Lonchura striata: one gene and its partner. The protein of the gene in region 1 binds, or shares a complex with, the protein of each later gene. Links are inferred from orthologs where the notes say so. Each region holds a gene or a part of one and is shown on either strand. Other genes may lie near its edges.

Region 1 (7,614 bases):
ATCTGTTCTGTATTATGCCTTTCATTCTGTAGTTTTCATCCTTTAAGTTTTTTCCTGGAACTTCATGAGGCCAGAAAATACTAACAAGGGTAAATTCTTCAGTCTCCAAGAGAAGAGAGTGTTGTTTTTTGTTAAATCCCTTTGGCTTTCTCACTTGCCTACAGGAATTGCCATGTCTGTGTAGAAGGCTTTGGCTCTGCCTTTAAGTTCTTGAATGACGTTTCCTGCTTCGTAGGAGCAGTGTTATGCTTTTACATCAGCTGCAAATGCTGATGAGTTATTAACCATGAGACTTCAAGCCAAGCATCTTGTGTTCCCTTTGCAGAACCGTGGCTGAATGGAGCTTAAAGGGCCACAGATGAAAGAAAGAACATGAACATTTCTGAAGGTGTGAGATGCCTGGCAGTGACCTCCTTACCTCAGTAATAAAGAAGAGTTTTTCTACAGGAGCTTAGGATATCTTTACTCCAGCTTCTTACTATACTAACTGGAATGGTGCTCTGACAACAATTGCCCATAATAAAGCACTTACCCTACTACAGAACAATATTTTTTTCTCTACTGATAATGTAACTCAATGGCGGAAAATAATGTTTTGATAAGCATGCCCGAAGATCGTTCCTTTCACGTGCGATACAGGTAAGACTGGTAATTTTGCTGTAAATGAGTAAGTGCTGTTAATAATAGAAAGCTAAACAAGTTGCAACAAATAGCTTGATATCTCTGCTAGTAGTGTTATTGAAATTTAAAATGAACTCCATTTTTTTCTTGATTTTTGAGTGATGAAAATTCACTTTTGCTATGTAGCAGATTATATTAGTATGATTAAATGATTGTATAGTACTGGAACTTGCATGGTAGCGGCATAGTACATTATTGCCTGTGTTTCTTTGTATTTGGGGTAAAATGATATGAAGTATGATGCCTGCAGGGTAATGGCTGCTCCCTCTTTTAGCTGTTGGACTGCCTATGCAAATTGCTGAGTTTTGTCTGCTGATGTTCTCTGTACTTGGCCCATTATTATTTTGGTGAATGACGAGGTATTTTCTGTGCTTAAAATAAAGAGGTTTGATTGATAGATGGAAACTGCCTTGGTGCCTTGCACTCAGAAGTACTGTTCTTGCAAGTGAAGAGGATATGGGATTTCCCTTCTGAGAGCTTTTTATAATTTTTCTTCTGAATCCCCTTTACAGACACGGGACGTGTTAGCATTTCAGACTCGCTCTAATGGAGCTGAACTACAGGAGCATTGTGTAGTGCATGGTGTTTGGAAGGGTAAATCGTGCAGTTCATTCAAGAGGAAGGGACACTGGAAGGCTGAAATGATTGTTTAAAAAGAAATAAAAAATGTGGTTCTTGTGTGCTCACCCCACCCCTACCCTGATCATCCTTTCTTTGGAGGCCTTTTCTTCACTAGCTAACAGCAATAAGGCTGTTAACCTGTATTTGTAAGACAGCACATGCTATGGCTTAAAATTAATCCTTTCAACCTTCTGACAGTGTTAGATTGTTGGAGTGGCCTTCTCTTCCATTTCATAGAAGAGAAATCTTTTATTTCATTTCATACAAGTCCAGTGTCCTGGGTGGCAGTGCAGCCAGCTGGAGAAGCTGTTTCATGGTCAGCAAAGAGAAAAATTAGCAAACAAGCTGTAATTTACTGTTTTCTCTCTTTATTTGGCTAAAATCTTTATCCTGTGGCATTGACCCTAAGTGTGATAACTCTGTGCTGCTTCCTGAAGGGACTCACTTCCCAGCATTCCTCTACCACATTTCCCCACACTGCTGCTGGTGCTCTCGGTCCTCCCCAGACAATTGCAGAACATCCTTGCTCACTCTTCAACAAAAGCTGGAGCTGTTCAGTGTGCTATTATAGAACTAAATGGATGAAAAATGTGTTATGGCCAATTGACTAGTTTAAACTGACAGGCTAAAAAAAACTTGGCAAGTGCAGTCAGGGCACAATGTCTTCCTGCTTTATGCTGTATTTCAGTACAGGTCTGAATGAGACCAATTAAAAATATCAACAATAACAATATTCATGACCTTCTTAAATTTTTCTGCAATAACTATAACCTGATTCACATTTAAAAAACATGATGGCAAAATTATTTTAATTTAAAAACATATTAAACTTGAGTTTTGAGAAACTGAAGATTAATTCAGTATATGACCTGGAATTTTATTATGATATTGATAGCTATAATTTGGAAATATTTTATTTTGTTGGAGTTTAAAATTTAGTGGAGGAAATAAAAAGTCATAAATTACTGGAGAGGGAGTTACCAGTTTTTAAAAAAAATTACTTGCAGGTATTATCCCGGGCTTGTTTGGCTGTGACTGCTCTTTCCTTCCTTCTGGCGTTCCATTAGAACTGATTTTAATGAAGTTGGAGCCCACTCCTAAGCAAAGGCTTTACTGTGGGTTTCTGACTGTGCAAGTGTTTCTTTCTCCCCACAGTAGTTCATCAGTATCACTTTTGCAGTTATAAAAATTCTTATGCTGGTAGAAGGAGATTTTTTTGTTGTTGTTGTTTAGTGACTGAAAATAAAATGCTAATGTTACTTGATTTGTATGAATAAATGATCTGTAGGGTTAATATTTGTATAACTTGCTTCTTTCAGCCTGCTAAATTCATACACCAAAAACTTGTAACTGCTTTTATCTTGACTGGAGCAAAAGAAGACAGAATGTGGTTTCTTTGTGTGTGAGTTGTTTGTTTCTAACCTCACCATCAGGTGTAGTTTGACAGAAGCAGTGCTGCAGTGGAGCTGCAGTGGAGCTGCAGTGGAGCTCTGTGCACTGGTTGCTTTGGAGGCTTCTGCTCACAGGGAGAAGCCAAGAGTAAGGGCAGGAGTCAGGAATGGTGTGTCAGCTTTGTTACAGGATGCTGTGGCATTAGTGATGCTGTGCATCTGAACTAGGGAGATGTCATGAGGGTTGTTTTGTCTCTAGGTGTGTTATTTGTACCAACGTGTTTCATGGGAAATTGTTGACAGCTGTGTTCCCCCTCCAAAGCTAAAAGCCCTCTTAGTGGGAATTGAACTGAGTAAAACTCTAAATTGTGCTTAGAGATTGCAGTAATCAGTGAGTGTTACTACCTTCTTCCACTGACTTAATTCTTACCTCTTTTCTTGTCCTTATTGTGAGATGAGAACAGCTGAAGGGAGGGAGACAAAAACAATGAGGCAATATGCTTAGGGTTTATATTAATAGAAATAATAAAGGTTTAAAATAGAATATGAAAAAGGTCAGAGAAGAAGAGGGGGGAGGGGGAAGAAGGGGAGCCAGGCAGGAGGAAAAGCTTTGAGGGCCAGATAAGGATGAGGCAGTTTTACAAACGAGAAATTATTCAGAAGATGCCAGGCAGCTATGGACAGCATAACAAAATGAAGCCCTGTGTGAGCATTTCAAGCAGTATCTGAAAGAATGCTATCCTGTTCAGCAGGAACAGAATTGCCTTAGAAGTGCACAAATGAATGAGGCTTGTTCTCGTCTCCTCTCTCCAGATACATTGAATCTCTTGTTTGGCCACTGGGTGTTGAGTAAATAATTCAATTCAGCCCAGGGAACAGAGAATGTAATGTCATATTCTGCTTGTAACTATTTAATGACTTCCTAAAACATTGATAATCTGGCCCTGTCTAGTCTGCCAAAGTGCTGTTTAACCATTAGTAGTGACAGGTGGAGAACACCTACGTAAATCCTAAAAAAACCACCAAAACAAACAAAAAAAAAAGTGTTAATTTGCATAAGAGTCCTTTAAGTAGCAGAGGGGAGAAAAAAACAAATACAAACCAAAACCAAACCTCTTCTGAATCCAGTTTTGGTACTCAATGGAAAAGCCTTGGAAACTTTTAAAATAACTGAGTGATTTAATAACTCTTATATAACCTGAATAAAATATTGAGTGCGGAGAACTGTGGGAATAAATATTTAATTTTCTCTGTTCTATTTTAGTATAGCTTATTTAGATTTTGAAATGGTAGGTCAGAAGGAATGGATCCAGATGGAATTAAAGTTTTAATTTGCTCTACGGATTCTAGCAACCTGTTAGTACAACCTCTCAAGAGTTGTGTAATTTTTGCATTCTTTTTTTACTCAAGCAATTATTAATTCCTATTTTCATTTACTTCCTGTAATTCTGGTTGAATTTAAAGACTCTGTAATAACTCCTGATTTTCATCAGTCTAAGCCATTTGCTTCTTAGTTGTGTTCTGTATGAAAGATCCCATATCTTTCATTTTTATAGGTTATACTAAATCTAGTGTTGCAAAGTCAAATGATTGTATTTCAAATTCCCTGATGAAATGGTAATGCTGCCTTGTCCTTTGGCAGTTTTGGTGTAGTGTGAAATTAGATGAATGAAGTTTCTCAGGGGGGCTACCATACTGCAGCACTCTCTGATATTGCCCTTGTACATTCTTTAATTGCCTTTTTTTAACTGATTATGTGGCTGATTCATCACAGTTAAAAATATTTTTTTTTAAATGGAACTAATTCACTAAGGGAAGCAGAGCCCAGTGCAGCATTTTCATTGTTATGTCACACACACGTTTTGCTGGAAGTTCTGCCCTTTTTAGCCATTCAAGCAAGAATCCAAGAGTGTGGCTGTGTAAATGGTCCAAATCTCTGCACTGAGAAGCACCATATTTTCTAGCTGTCACTCTAATTGGACGTGTCAGTTAACATGAGGTGCCCGGAGAGAACCTCTTTGGATAGGATTAAGATTACCCAATGAAGTGTTTTAAGTCCTAAACCTTCAGTTGCTGATGGTGTAATCATTTCTGCCTTGTACTTAATTGTACTTAATCATTTCTGCCTTCTTCTTTCTTACATTCGACACATGCACAATGTCATGAGAGCCAGGTGGTGTGTTGTAGCTAATAGGAATGCTCTAACTTCTCTGAGAAGGGTTTGCAAACCTAAAAATACTGCATGTGTTATGGATATCCAGCCTGGAAAGTTGGGCTTGGCAAGAACTTCATGCTGGAGTTACCTTTTGCTGTCAGCATCTTTAGCAGCTACCAAACAGGCAGTGCATTTGGTTGCAAAAGGTAAACATGTCGGTCATCACGCTGTGCTTAAGTTGTGGCACGTCGAAGACCAGCAGGTATGGCAGAATTTTGTGTTGTACTTGTGATACCAGTTCTTCTAAATCTTTTGGAAGTCATTAGAGTTTTCAAAAATATTTCCTTCCTGTTCAGGTGTGAGTAGATGTTTGTATAATAATTTTTTTCCTATTTTAAGGAAATAAAAAAATGTATTGCACGTATGTTAAAAACTTCATCACTATGTCAGGTCAAAACAGGTGACATGTGGTATTTCCACTAAAATAACTTCTGCAAAAGCCAGCATTTGATTGTCCACTCTTTGGCAATATTAGCTTATACTTTTTCAACAATTACAGAATGTCTCTTACTGTTTTGTTTTTTTTTAAATCTTAAAAAAAAAAAAGCTGATATTTTTGCAAGCTTTTTAAAATGCATGTATCCTGAAAAAGCTGGAGAACCATACTGCTTCAAGATTGAGACCTGGAGCTGTTGGCTTTCTCATCTTCTTCTCCCCTGCCTCCCTTGCATCTCAGAACCAGAAAGTAGGAAACATTTGGATAAAAAATATTATGTTTTGTACTCCTGAGCTTACAGAGGCAAAAATGCACATGAATGCTATTGTAGTTTTCTATCAGCTTCTTTGTTCATGTTCAAAATGTAATATTCTACAAATTCATTAATGACTGCTGTATTTTGTACCTGTATAATTGCACAATTAGTTGTTCATAATAATAAAAAATGTTCCAGTGTATTCCAGTGTTCTGGAATAATGGTGTATCAGTGAAGCAACTTGAATTGACATACATTTTGTCATTAATTGAATCTAGATATTTTTTCTTACAGCGAGAATTTTCATAGCAGTCCATAGCAGTTTTCATAGTGCCTAGTATAAGAAATTAAGTGCCAAGGAGTACTGAATTACAGAGGAAGCAACTTGGGGAAAACTAGTCAGTCTTTGATACATAGAATATTCTAATTTAATTTTTTTCCTGTGAATAATTTTGCAGATTACTATGGCATCACCCTAAAAATCTGAAGTGCTTCCATTTGTCAGAATCAGTATTTGTCAGTAATAGTTTGATTTCTAGGTAACTTTTCTGAAATTATCTAGATGGTGAAAACTGTTTTTGAACCCTTCGTGTGCTCCCTGTAGACAAAGCAGTGTTTGGTTTCCTCTCTGAGACCGGAAAAAAAAAAAAAGAAATTCCAGTTGTTTGTTCAAATGTTATTTTGCTCCTCACCACTGAAGTTGTAATTTCCATTTCAGCCTTAGCAAAGCTCACTGGTTGTAGTGTGGTGCTGATTCCCTCTCCTAAACAAATAGAGGCCCTCTGAGTAAAGCAATGCCCTGTTCGGAGCTCAGGTGCTGGACAGAGTGTGGCACTTGGAGTGACTGTTGGCCTTTTTTGTCACGGTGCAGGATGGAGGCTTCCTGCCTGGAGCTGGCTCTGGAAGGCGAGCGCCTGTGCAAGGCAGGAGATTGCCGGGCTGGAGTGTCTTTCTTTGAAGCAGCTGTGCAGGTTGGAACTGAAGATTTACGAACCCTGAGCGCTATTTACAGCCAGCTGGGCAATGCCTATTTCTACCTGCAGGAATACGCAAAGGCCTTGGAATACCATCACCACGATTTAACTCTTGCAAGGTAATTGTTCTCCAGGTCATCCCATTCTGGGAGACACAAGCAGCTGTTCATTGTCCTGCCAAACCCTGCTATTAATACTGGCTAATGAGTGAACGTGGTGGTGGCACAGGGCTGGGGGGCCTGGCAGGTCACTTGGGTGCCCTCTAACCTGGCAGCTAATACTTGGTCTAGCAGCATAATCCTAGAACTGACTGAGGCCTCACCAGGTTTCTGGATAATTAAATGGCTGCTTTAAGTCCATCCTTTATCCTTTCGTGTTTCTAAAACTCAGTGTTTCTAGTTCTCCGTATTGTTAAGCTGCTCTCGTTTACTAGACAGAACTCCTTAATGTTTATCTGTGTAAAACTCATAATGTAATACTGTGAAATCCTAAAACCCTATCCCTTTCATATGCTATTGATGTGTCTGACTTTTACTGATTTGTATAGATCCAATAAAAGACATAGGCATATAATATACTTAACCTCAATTTAGGCATAAATCTATTCTTCCCCCTGCCTTACTCTGCTCCTGTGCAGTGACCTTGGGGCATTTGTTTTGTTGTGTTGTCCCCCAGGTATGACAGTTTGAGTGGTTCAGTGGCAGTCTCTTGCCTTAGTCTCATTTAAAATCTAGAAATGAAGTAGTGCCTCAAGCTACAGAGGAGACTGTAAATCTTAAACCTTACAGTTAAGTGTCTTGTTAAATTAAAGGAGGCTTTTACTTAAAAGGAGATGGTCAAGTAAAACACAAATGCAGTTAAAGCTCTCTTTCTAATGCTGGGACTGGCTTTCTAAATCATCTTTAAGAATTTTCTCTCTATTCTCTTCTTAAATATGTGAATTTAAGAAGTAAATGTTAAGCAGATGATCAATACCATGAATACCAGCAGCTGGCCAAACAGCACTGACAGAACAAGATGTCTGTAATCTCAGACGGAAC
Region 2 (7,019 bases), on another chromosome or scaffold:
GCTGGCAATAGGGGCAGGGTTTGGATATAAGAGACAGCCCATGGGGATGCGGAGAGGGTGGCTGGAGGGGCAGCAGCATTGTATCCCCTTCTGAGGAGGCTTTTCCTCAAATGCACCAGGGCAATGTGGGGAGAGGGCTGTGTCCAACCTGGCTGGGAGGGCTTTGGGAGGCTCTTAGGCCCTCTGCCTGACATTGGAGAGCTAGTGGCCACTGGTGTGTGTCAGCATGCAGGGCCACAGCAGCTCTGAGTACTGCTCTGCTGTGGGGTGCACACAATGGGGCTGTGGCAGGGCCCTGGGCAGTAGCCCAGGTCCTCTGTGAGCCTAGGGCTCAGTACCAGGGCTATCAGGACATCTGCAAAGGACACTGTCCTCCCAGTGGTTCCTTTTTCCTCCAGGTGGCTGCATGCCAAGCTCCCCAGAGCCCAGACCAGCCCCCAGCTTCCTGCAGCATCTGCTTGCCTCCCTCTGCCCCAGGGCAGCTGTGGGCAGTCCCTGGCATTCCTTCCTGGTGAACAGCCACTCCAGCCTGGCACACTTGTAGCCAGCTGGCAGCATTAATTGGGCGAGTTTGGCCTTGAGATGTTTGTTTTGGGGTGCTGTCGGGTGCTGGACTTTGTCTGCCCTGGTCAGAGGATGCTCTGAGATGGGGAGGGAACTCAGGGAGAGCAATGGGAGCCACTGTCTCGTGTCTCTGCAGCAACATCATCGATGTGTCGGCAGCGGATTCCCAGGGCATGGAGCAGCACGAGTACATGGACAGAGCCAGGCAGTACAGGTGGGACCTGCACTTCTCCGCTGGGGTGCCTGCAGTCCTTCACAGCTGTGCGTGTCCCTGGGCAGGTCCCAGGGGTTTTGGCCTGGGGGAGTGAACTCAGCGTGTAGAAAGTCTGCCTCATCTCCGAGAGCAGGGTGCAGCCTGCTCAGGGAAGGCTGATGGCAGTGCAGGCAGCAGAGCCCAGGACAAAGGGCTCCTGTGTTCACCCAGCCCTTGGGGCAGATTTTTGGGGGCTGGATGTGATGGCTTCTGCTTGAAAGGTGCCTGTGTAGGAGAGCTGGAATCTCGCTCATCCTCCTGCTGCGGGGAGTGCAGAGGGCTGGATGCTGGGAGTGCAGCTCTGCTGCTCTCCCTCTCTCCCCCTGGGGGTTCCAGGTGCTTGGGGGTGCAGCACCCATCTTCTGGATGTCCCCACGTCTCGGCAGGTCACTGATGTTCACTGCTCTCCCCTCACAGCACACGCCTGGCCATGCTCAGCAACAACCTGACGCACTGGAAGAAGCTGCCCCTGCTGCCATCTCTGACCAACCAACCACACCAAGTGCTCGCCAGCGACCCTGTCCCCTTCGCAGACCTGCAGCAGGTGAGCCGGGCTGGGGTGAGCCCCGAGCCCCTGCGGTGCTCCCCAGAGACACATCCTCGTCCTGGAGGAGCAGTGATGCCCTCCTGCTTGCCCAGAGCTCTGACACAACTTGTTACAGCTGAAGGCAAAGCCTAGGTCAGGTTTAAAGCCTTGTTAGAGGTGGAGGCAAAGCCCAGGACAGGCTTAGGGACTCTTTTGGGCTGGAGGTTAACCTCCTGCAGCAGTTTCTTTGGGATAACGGGGAGTTTCAGCAGCCACCAGTGACACAGCCATGTCTTCGTGCCTGCAGGTGTCCCGGATAGCCGCCTATGCCTTCAGTGCGCTCTCACAGATCCGTGTCGACGCCAAAGAAGAACTGGTTGTACAGTTTGGCATCCCCTGAACCTGCCCCCACCACTGCTGCTTCAGCGCTTTGGGTTGTTTTTGGTTTATTTCCTGATTGTTTTTTTTCCTCTTTATATCCCTTCCCTCCCCATGCTGCTGCCACAGAACTTGGACAGATATCCTGTTTCCTACTAAATGCCAAGGCGCACATCATTGGCACATTGAGCCCACCTACATTGCTTGAGGCTTTCTCCTCCTCGTGGGTGGGTAGGTGGGTGTGCGTGGGGAGCAGGCTGTGTCAGCTGGACGCTGCCTTGCACAGGGACAAGCACAAAGGGAACAGCTGCTGCAAGGAGGCCCTGGTGTGGGTCAGCACCACGTGCCAGGTTACCAGGACGGGTGGGCTGGAGCCAGGCAGATGTGATGCTCTGCATGGGGCCTGGTGGCTCCAACACCATCCCTTCTCCTTTCTACATGTTTAGACCTTTGTTTTGGCTGTTTGGTTTTTGGTTTTGTTGGGTTTTTTTAATTATTATTTTTTGCCACAGTCAATAAAGCCACGTTCATCCAGTGCCTGTCTCCACTATTCTCTGCTGGACACAGAATGGACATGGTGGGGGAGCCATACCCTGGTGTATGGTGCACATCTGTCTGACCCCTGTCCATCATGTGCCACAGGGCCAAGAGGACGAGGGGACAGGGAATGTATGATGACCCACCTTTAAGGGGAAGGAGGCACCTGAGATTCCTAAATGCTCGTGGTCCAAAGGAATGTCAAAAGTCAGGGCTGGCAAATAATCAGAAAGTTTTATTAGTAAATTACACACTTGGCATGGAAATTGCAGGGTACCTTTTTTTATGGGTAGGTTTCCCCAGCCTGAAGACGGAGTTCTCATTTTCTATGCAAATTAGTTATCATGCACAGTCTGTTCTTTCAGGTCTTCCTGGAAATGGGTCAGAGGGGTTTAGGGGTCTTTGGTCACCTTAATCCTACCCGTAGTCCGTGCCCACTTCCTGCCACTCATTCCTATGCTGTACTGTCTTGTGCTTATCAGCAGGAACTAGAACAAGGATGTTTTTCCTACAACAAGGATGTTTTTCCAGTGCTGCTCTATCTCACCTTGCCTCTCTTCTTTAGCCATACCTTGTTATGGCGTGTTAAGGTCAGCAGGCCTTGTTTATTACCAACAGTCCTTGCTAGACGCCACAACCATCCAGTTATCTATGTTTGAGACATACACATTAGCTCTCCTATGTTCTGGGAATAGAATTTTCAGTGAGATTTATTTTGGACTGTGGTTTATGGGGTCATTAGAGAGTGGGCTTCAGTATGCATTATTAGCCCTTTATAATTGAGAACTCAAAGGGTCTCACTTTGGATTGCTGTCTAGAAGGTTGCAAGAAAGTGGGCTTTAGTCATAGTAGTTTTCCATCTTGGCCACAATTTAATTTGGTTGAAGGTTCAACAACAAAAATACTGTTCCACATTGGTTGTTACTCAGGCAAGAAAAATAAGTTTCCAAGTCTGTTCATTAAAAACCAGATGCTCGATAAACATCTGTTACTTCCTTGGAACAGATTATATCCAATAAGCTCAAGAGGGGCTTAGTCTGGGTGCTCTTTGTGAAGGCCAAAGCCTAACAAGCATTTCTCAGGTCTTGGTGGGGCCTGAGCAGTGGTGGGGACATTCGCCACCACAATCCAGTTCGTGACTGAACCTCTGTGGGCCTCTACAGGGTGAAATAGGGCTGTGGCCACGGGGACAAGCACAGGACCCCCCAAGTGAGACGAGGCCCCGGTAGCAGGTCAGGACAGGTTTGGGGGCTGATGAGGACCCCTGCCTAGCTGGCACTGCAGGGCAGAGTGGGGTGTCTGTGTGTGACACACCGCCAGAGTCCCCCCACGTGTCCCCTGACACACTGTGGCCTTCCAGTACTCCGTGTGGCCCCGCACAACCCCCTCTACGTGTCACACAACCTCCCCTCATGTGTCCTCACCTCTCACTGCGGGCTTCAGACCCACATCCCCCACACCCCCGTGGTCCCACCTGTCTTACTGTTACCTTCACGAGTGTCCCCAAGCAGCCCTGTAACCCACTCCCGACACCAGGGCTTCCGTCGCTTGGACTGTTGCATGTTGCATGTGTCCCCCAAGTAGCCCGCGAGGGTCCCGGTGGCCGGCAGAGCGCTGTCCCCCGCAGCCCAGCGCGAGTGCGGGACCCCGCGGTCCGCCCGCCGTGTGCCGCCCCCCGCCCGCCGGTGCCCAATGGGCAGCAGCGGGGGCGGGCGCTGCCGTTCGAATAAGAGCGGCCGCGGCACGGGCCCCGGCAGCTTCCAGAGCACCGCCAATATTGCTGGAGCCCCCAGGGCATCGTCAGTACTGCTGGAGCCCCCAGGGCATCGTCAGTACTGCTGGAGCCTCCAGGGCATCGTCAGTACTGCTGGAGCCTCCAGAGCATCGTCCGTACTGCTGGAGCCCCGGCGACGCCGGAGACGGACCAAATTCGCAGCCACGGTCACGGTACGGGGAAAGCTGAGGTCAATCGCCGGGCGGGCCCCGGTGGTTGCTCGGCGGGGGTGAATTCAGGGCCGCAGAGCGAGGCTGTGCCAGAGGCGGGCAAAGCGCGGAACCCTCGGGCGAGCGGGGCACGTCTGTGGCACAGCCTCCGTCTCGGGCCAAGCTCGGCGGCGTCCCCGTCCCTAAAGGCATTCGGCGACCGCGTTCCTCGCAAGTTCCTCTGCTGCCCCCAGCGCCGGTTCCAAAGAGCCTTCTCCTTGTGCCCTTCCTGGGCCGTGCTCGGGGCAGCCCCATCCCGCGGCCCTGAGCCTCCGCAGGCAGCCCAGGCACTGCGGCGATGACTTCCGAGAGTCTCCGGAACAGCAGCGTCCCTTCCTCGCCCGACTCCTCCCTCGTCTAGCTGGTGGCCCGTGGGGTCCGGTTCCCGTCGAATCCGCGCCCGCGGGGGTGTGTGCGTGTCGGGGGGAGTTTTCCAGGGGTCAGCTGGGATGTGAGTCCGGCCAGGTTAGAGGGAGACGCAGCATCGGGGGCTATTCTCTTTCCCGAGCCGCGCTGGGGCCGGGAGCGGGTCAGAGCCGGCCGCAGCGGCACAGCTCTCCGCCGCTGGCCGGGGCAGGGTGGCGGCAGCGAGCGCGGCCGGGGTCGGGCGCTCCCCCTCCGCACGGCGCGGCGCCGGAGGTTTCGGTGCCGTGCGCCTTTAACGAGCGCGGCCCGGCGCGGTGACGTGGGGTGGCGCAGGGCCAGGAAGGGGAACCGCCGCCTGCCAGCCCCGCCGAGAGAAGCTCAACAACTTTTCTTTTGTGCGTGGCCGCTGGCTCCCCGGCCCTTCCTGGCCTGCCAGCGCTCATGGCGGATTAACCCCAGCGCGCCGACGACGGCCGCGCGGCCCCGGTAAGGCCCCAACAAAGACTTTCTGCCTCTTCCTCGTTTTGTTTTCCACGGGGCTGGGGGGGAGCGGGGCGGGGGCGGCGAAGCTCAGCTCGCCCAGCTCCGCCGCCTCGCCGCAGCGTGCGGCTCCCGGCCCGGCGCCTCGGAGCCCCGAGGTGCGGGTCCGGGGCCGGGTCGGGCTCGCCAACATCCGGGCGCTCGGGTCGGCGGCTGCTCTGCCCCGCCGCCCCGCGCCGGCTGCGGGCCCGTCCGTGCCGGGGGCTGCCGTGGGTCGCTCACTCTGCCCGGGTGCTCCCCGCAGCCGGACCCCCGGCCTGGGACGGCCCTCGGGCGCGTCCCCCGGCGCGCTGGCACGTCGGGAGCTCCGGAGCGCGGGCTTGCGTAACGCCGTGTTGTGACCGGAGCGGCGCGGGGGAAGGGGGGAAGGACAATGCCGCCGCCGCCGCCGCCGCCTCCGGGGCTCGTTCCCCGGTCCCCGCCGCCCCCCTGCAGCTGCTCTCCTCGGGGATGCGGCTGGGAGGCGCTCACGGCCGCTGGCGGGCTCCCCGACCGCTTCCCGCCTGCCATCGCCAATGGCGCGTCCTCACCGAGGGTCATGGCGTTGTCTCAGATGCTCAGGGTGGCCAGTGTCACCAGGGACAAGCCAGGCTGTGACCGCGGCAGGAGCGGGTAGCCCTGCCCGCTGTGCAGATCTCACACCAGGAACCAGTGTGTTTGCAGGCTGGTTCTGGTAAAACCCAGCTCGACGCTGGTGGGACACAGTTTTTTCCGAGGGTCTGCATCCAGTGCTGCTCGAGTGCTGTGCCCTGTGCCTTTGGGTAGATTTTTAGGGAGAAGTTTTGTCTGTGCCACCGAGGGGAGGGACAGTAGTTGTTGAGTGACCCAGCCATGACACAGGGAGCTGGATTTTAGCCAGATTGGAGGGAGGACCTGTCCTGCTGAGGATCCCATGCTTCCCAGCTGGACCGACAGCAGTGGGAGCTCTGTACTCCCTAAAGCCACCGTGGCTGGTTGGCTGTGCTGTGCTGAGCAGCTGCAGATCCCGAGCAGTGTTCAGGTGCAATACCGGGTGAGGAGCTCCCTCCTCATCTAGGCGACTTTTTGGCTCCCAGCAGTTCCCTCCCCTGGAAGACTACCAGGGTGGCACTGGGGGCAGCCAGCGTGGAGGCAAAGGTCGCTGTGAAGGGGACCTGGCAGTGATCCCAGATCCTGTCAGGGCAGCTCATCCCTGCTCCCACCCAATGCAGTGATGCCCAGAGAGCTCCCTGTACCTCAGCAGGTGGTTTTTTCCAGTAGTAGCTGTGGGAAGGGGAGCTGGCAGCGCTTCAATGGCTCAGCCACTGCCTTGCTGGGCAAGAAATGTTAGTGACACTTGGAGGTGAGAGGGAGGGAAGAAGGCACAGCAGGAGAATGAGGAGCCCGAGCAGCAGTTTTCCACTGACCCCATGTCAGGATCCTAATCTGTGGGAGTAGACCTGGCTGCTGCTCAGCATTGCTTCCCACTCTGTGCCTGTGGGGAAGCAGGAGGATGCTGGCTGCTCCTGCACAGCTGGGATGTCCCAGATGCAGGGACACATCCTCCCTTGGTGGGTACAAATGCCTGATGCTGTCTGAAAGTAATTTAGTAACATAATTACTCTACCTTTTTTATTCCCCTCCCCCCACCCCTCTGTTGGTGTTTTTAGGTCTGGACAGGGACCTGATAGGCTGGCCACAATGTCTCTTCACGGTGCAAGAGTTGCTGCTCTCCTTGCTTGGGTAAGTCCCCCCTCCCCTGCATGCTGCTGCCAGCCCTGGCAGCTTTGAGGCTCGATGCTGAGGCTTGTCACAGGAGGGATTGTGGCTGGGGCAGGTCCTAGGGTAGTCCAGTTCCTGCCATTCCTGGGCAGGTGGGTGTTTGCAGGAGAAGCCTTGCTCACCCTTCCTGTT

The links. Proteins that work in one complex are often made in the same cells at the same time.
Region 2: the proteins of GPSM2 (region 1) and NUMA1 are in contact, whole or in part, in a crystal structure (PDB 6HC2), measured with the Homo sapiens proteins. The link is inferred for Lonchura striata from reciprocal best matches to the Homo sapiens genes GPSM2 and NUMA1. Residues at the interface, in NP_001307967.1 of Homo sapiens: Ala28, Leu29, Glu32, Cys35, Lys36, Phe47, Lys59, Thr60, Ser62, Ala63, Ile64, Ser66, Gln67, Asn70, Ala71, Phe73, Asn110, Lys113, Tyr146, His153, Lys157, Pro164, Gln165, Arg203, Gly206, Asn207, Asn210, Tyr213, Leu214, Arg228; in NP_006176.2 of Homo sapiens: Ser1901, Phe1902, Tyr1903, Met1904, Gly1905, Thr1906, Cys1907, Gln1908, Asp1909, Glu1910, Pro1911, Glu1912, Leu1914, Asp1916, Trp1917, Asn1918, Arg1919, Ile1920, Ala1921, Leu1923.

Annotation. Positions count from the first base shown.
Region 1 is NC_134611.1:25,004,560-25,012,173, forward strand, and holds the start of GPSM2 (G-protein-signaling modulator 2), read left to right. Parts: upstream 1-4,602; 5' UTR 4,603-6,394; coding exon 6,395-6,693; intron 6,694-7,614. UniProt on the Homo sapiens protein: Plays an important role in mitotic spindle pole organization via its interaction with NUMA1. Required for cortical dynein-dynactin complex recruitment during metaphase. Plays a role in metaphase spindle orientation.
Region 2 is NC_134604.1:4,288,753-4,295,771, reverse strand, and holds the start of NUMA1 (nuclear mitotic apparatus protein 1), read left to right. Parts: upstream 1-4,012; 5' UTR 4,013-4,205; intron 4,206-4,921; exon of another isoform or gene 4,922-5,093; intron 5,094-6,775; 5' UTR 6,776-6,806; coding exon 6,807-6,848; intron 6,849-7,019. Other genes in the region: ragulator complex protein LAMTOR1, read left to right, coding at 701-778, 1,235-1,361, 1,651-1,743. UniProt on the Homo sapiens protein: Microtubule (MT)-binding protein that plays a role in the formation and maintenance of the spindle poles and the alignement and the segregation of chromosomes during mitotic cell division.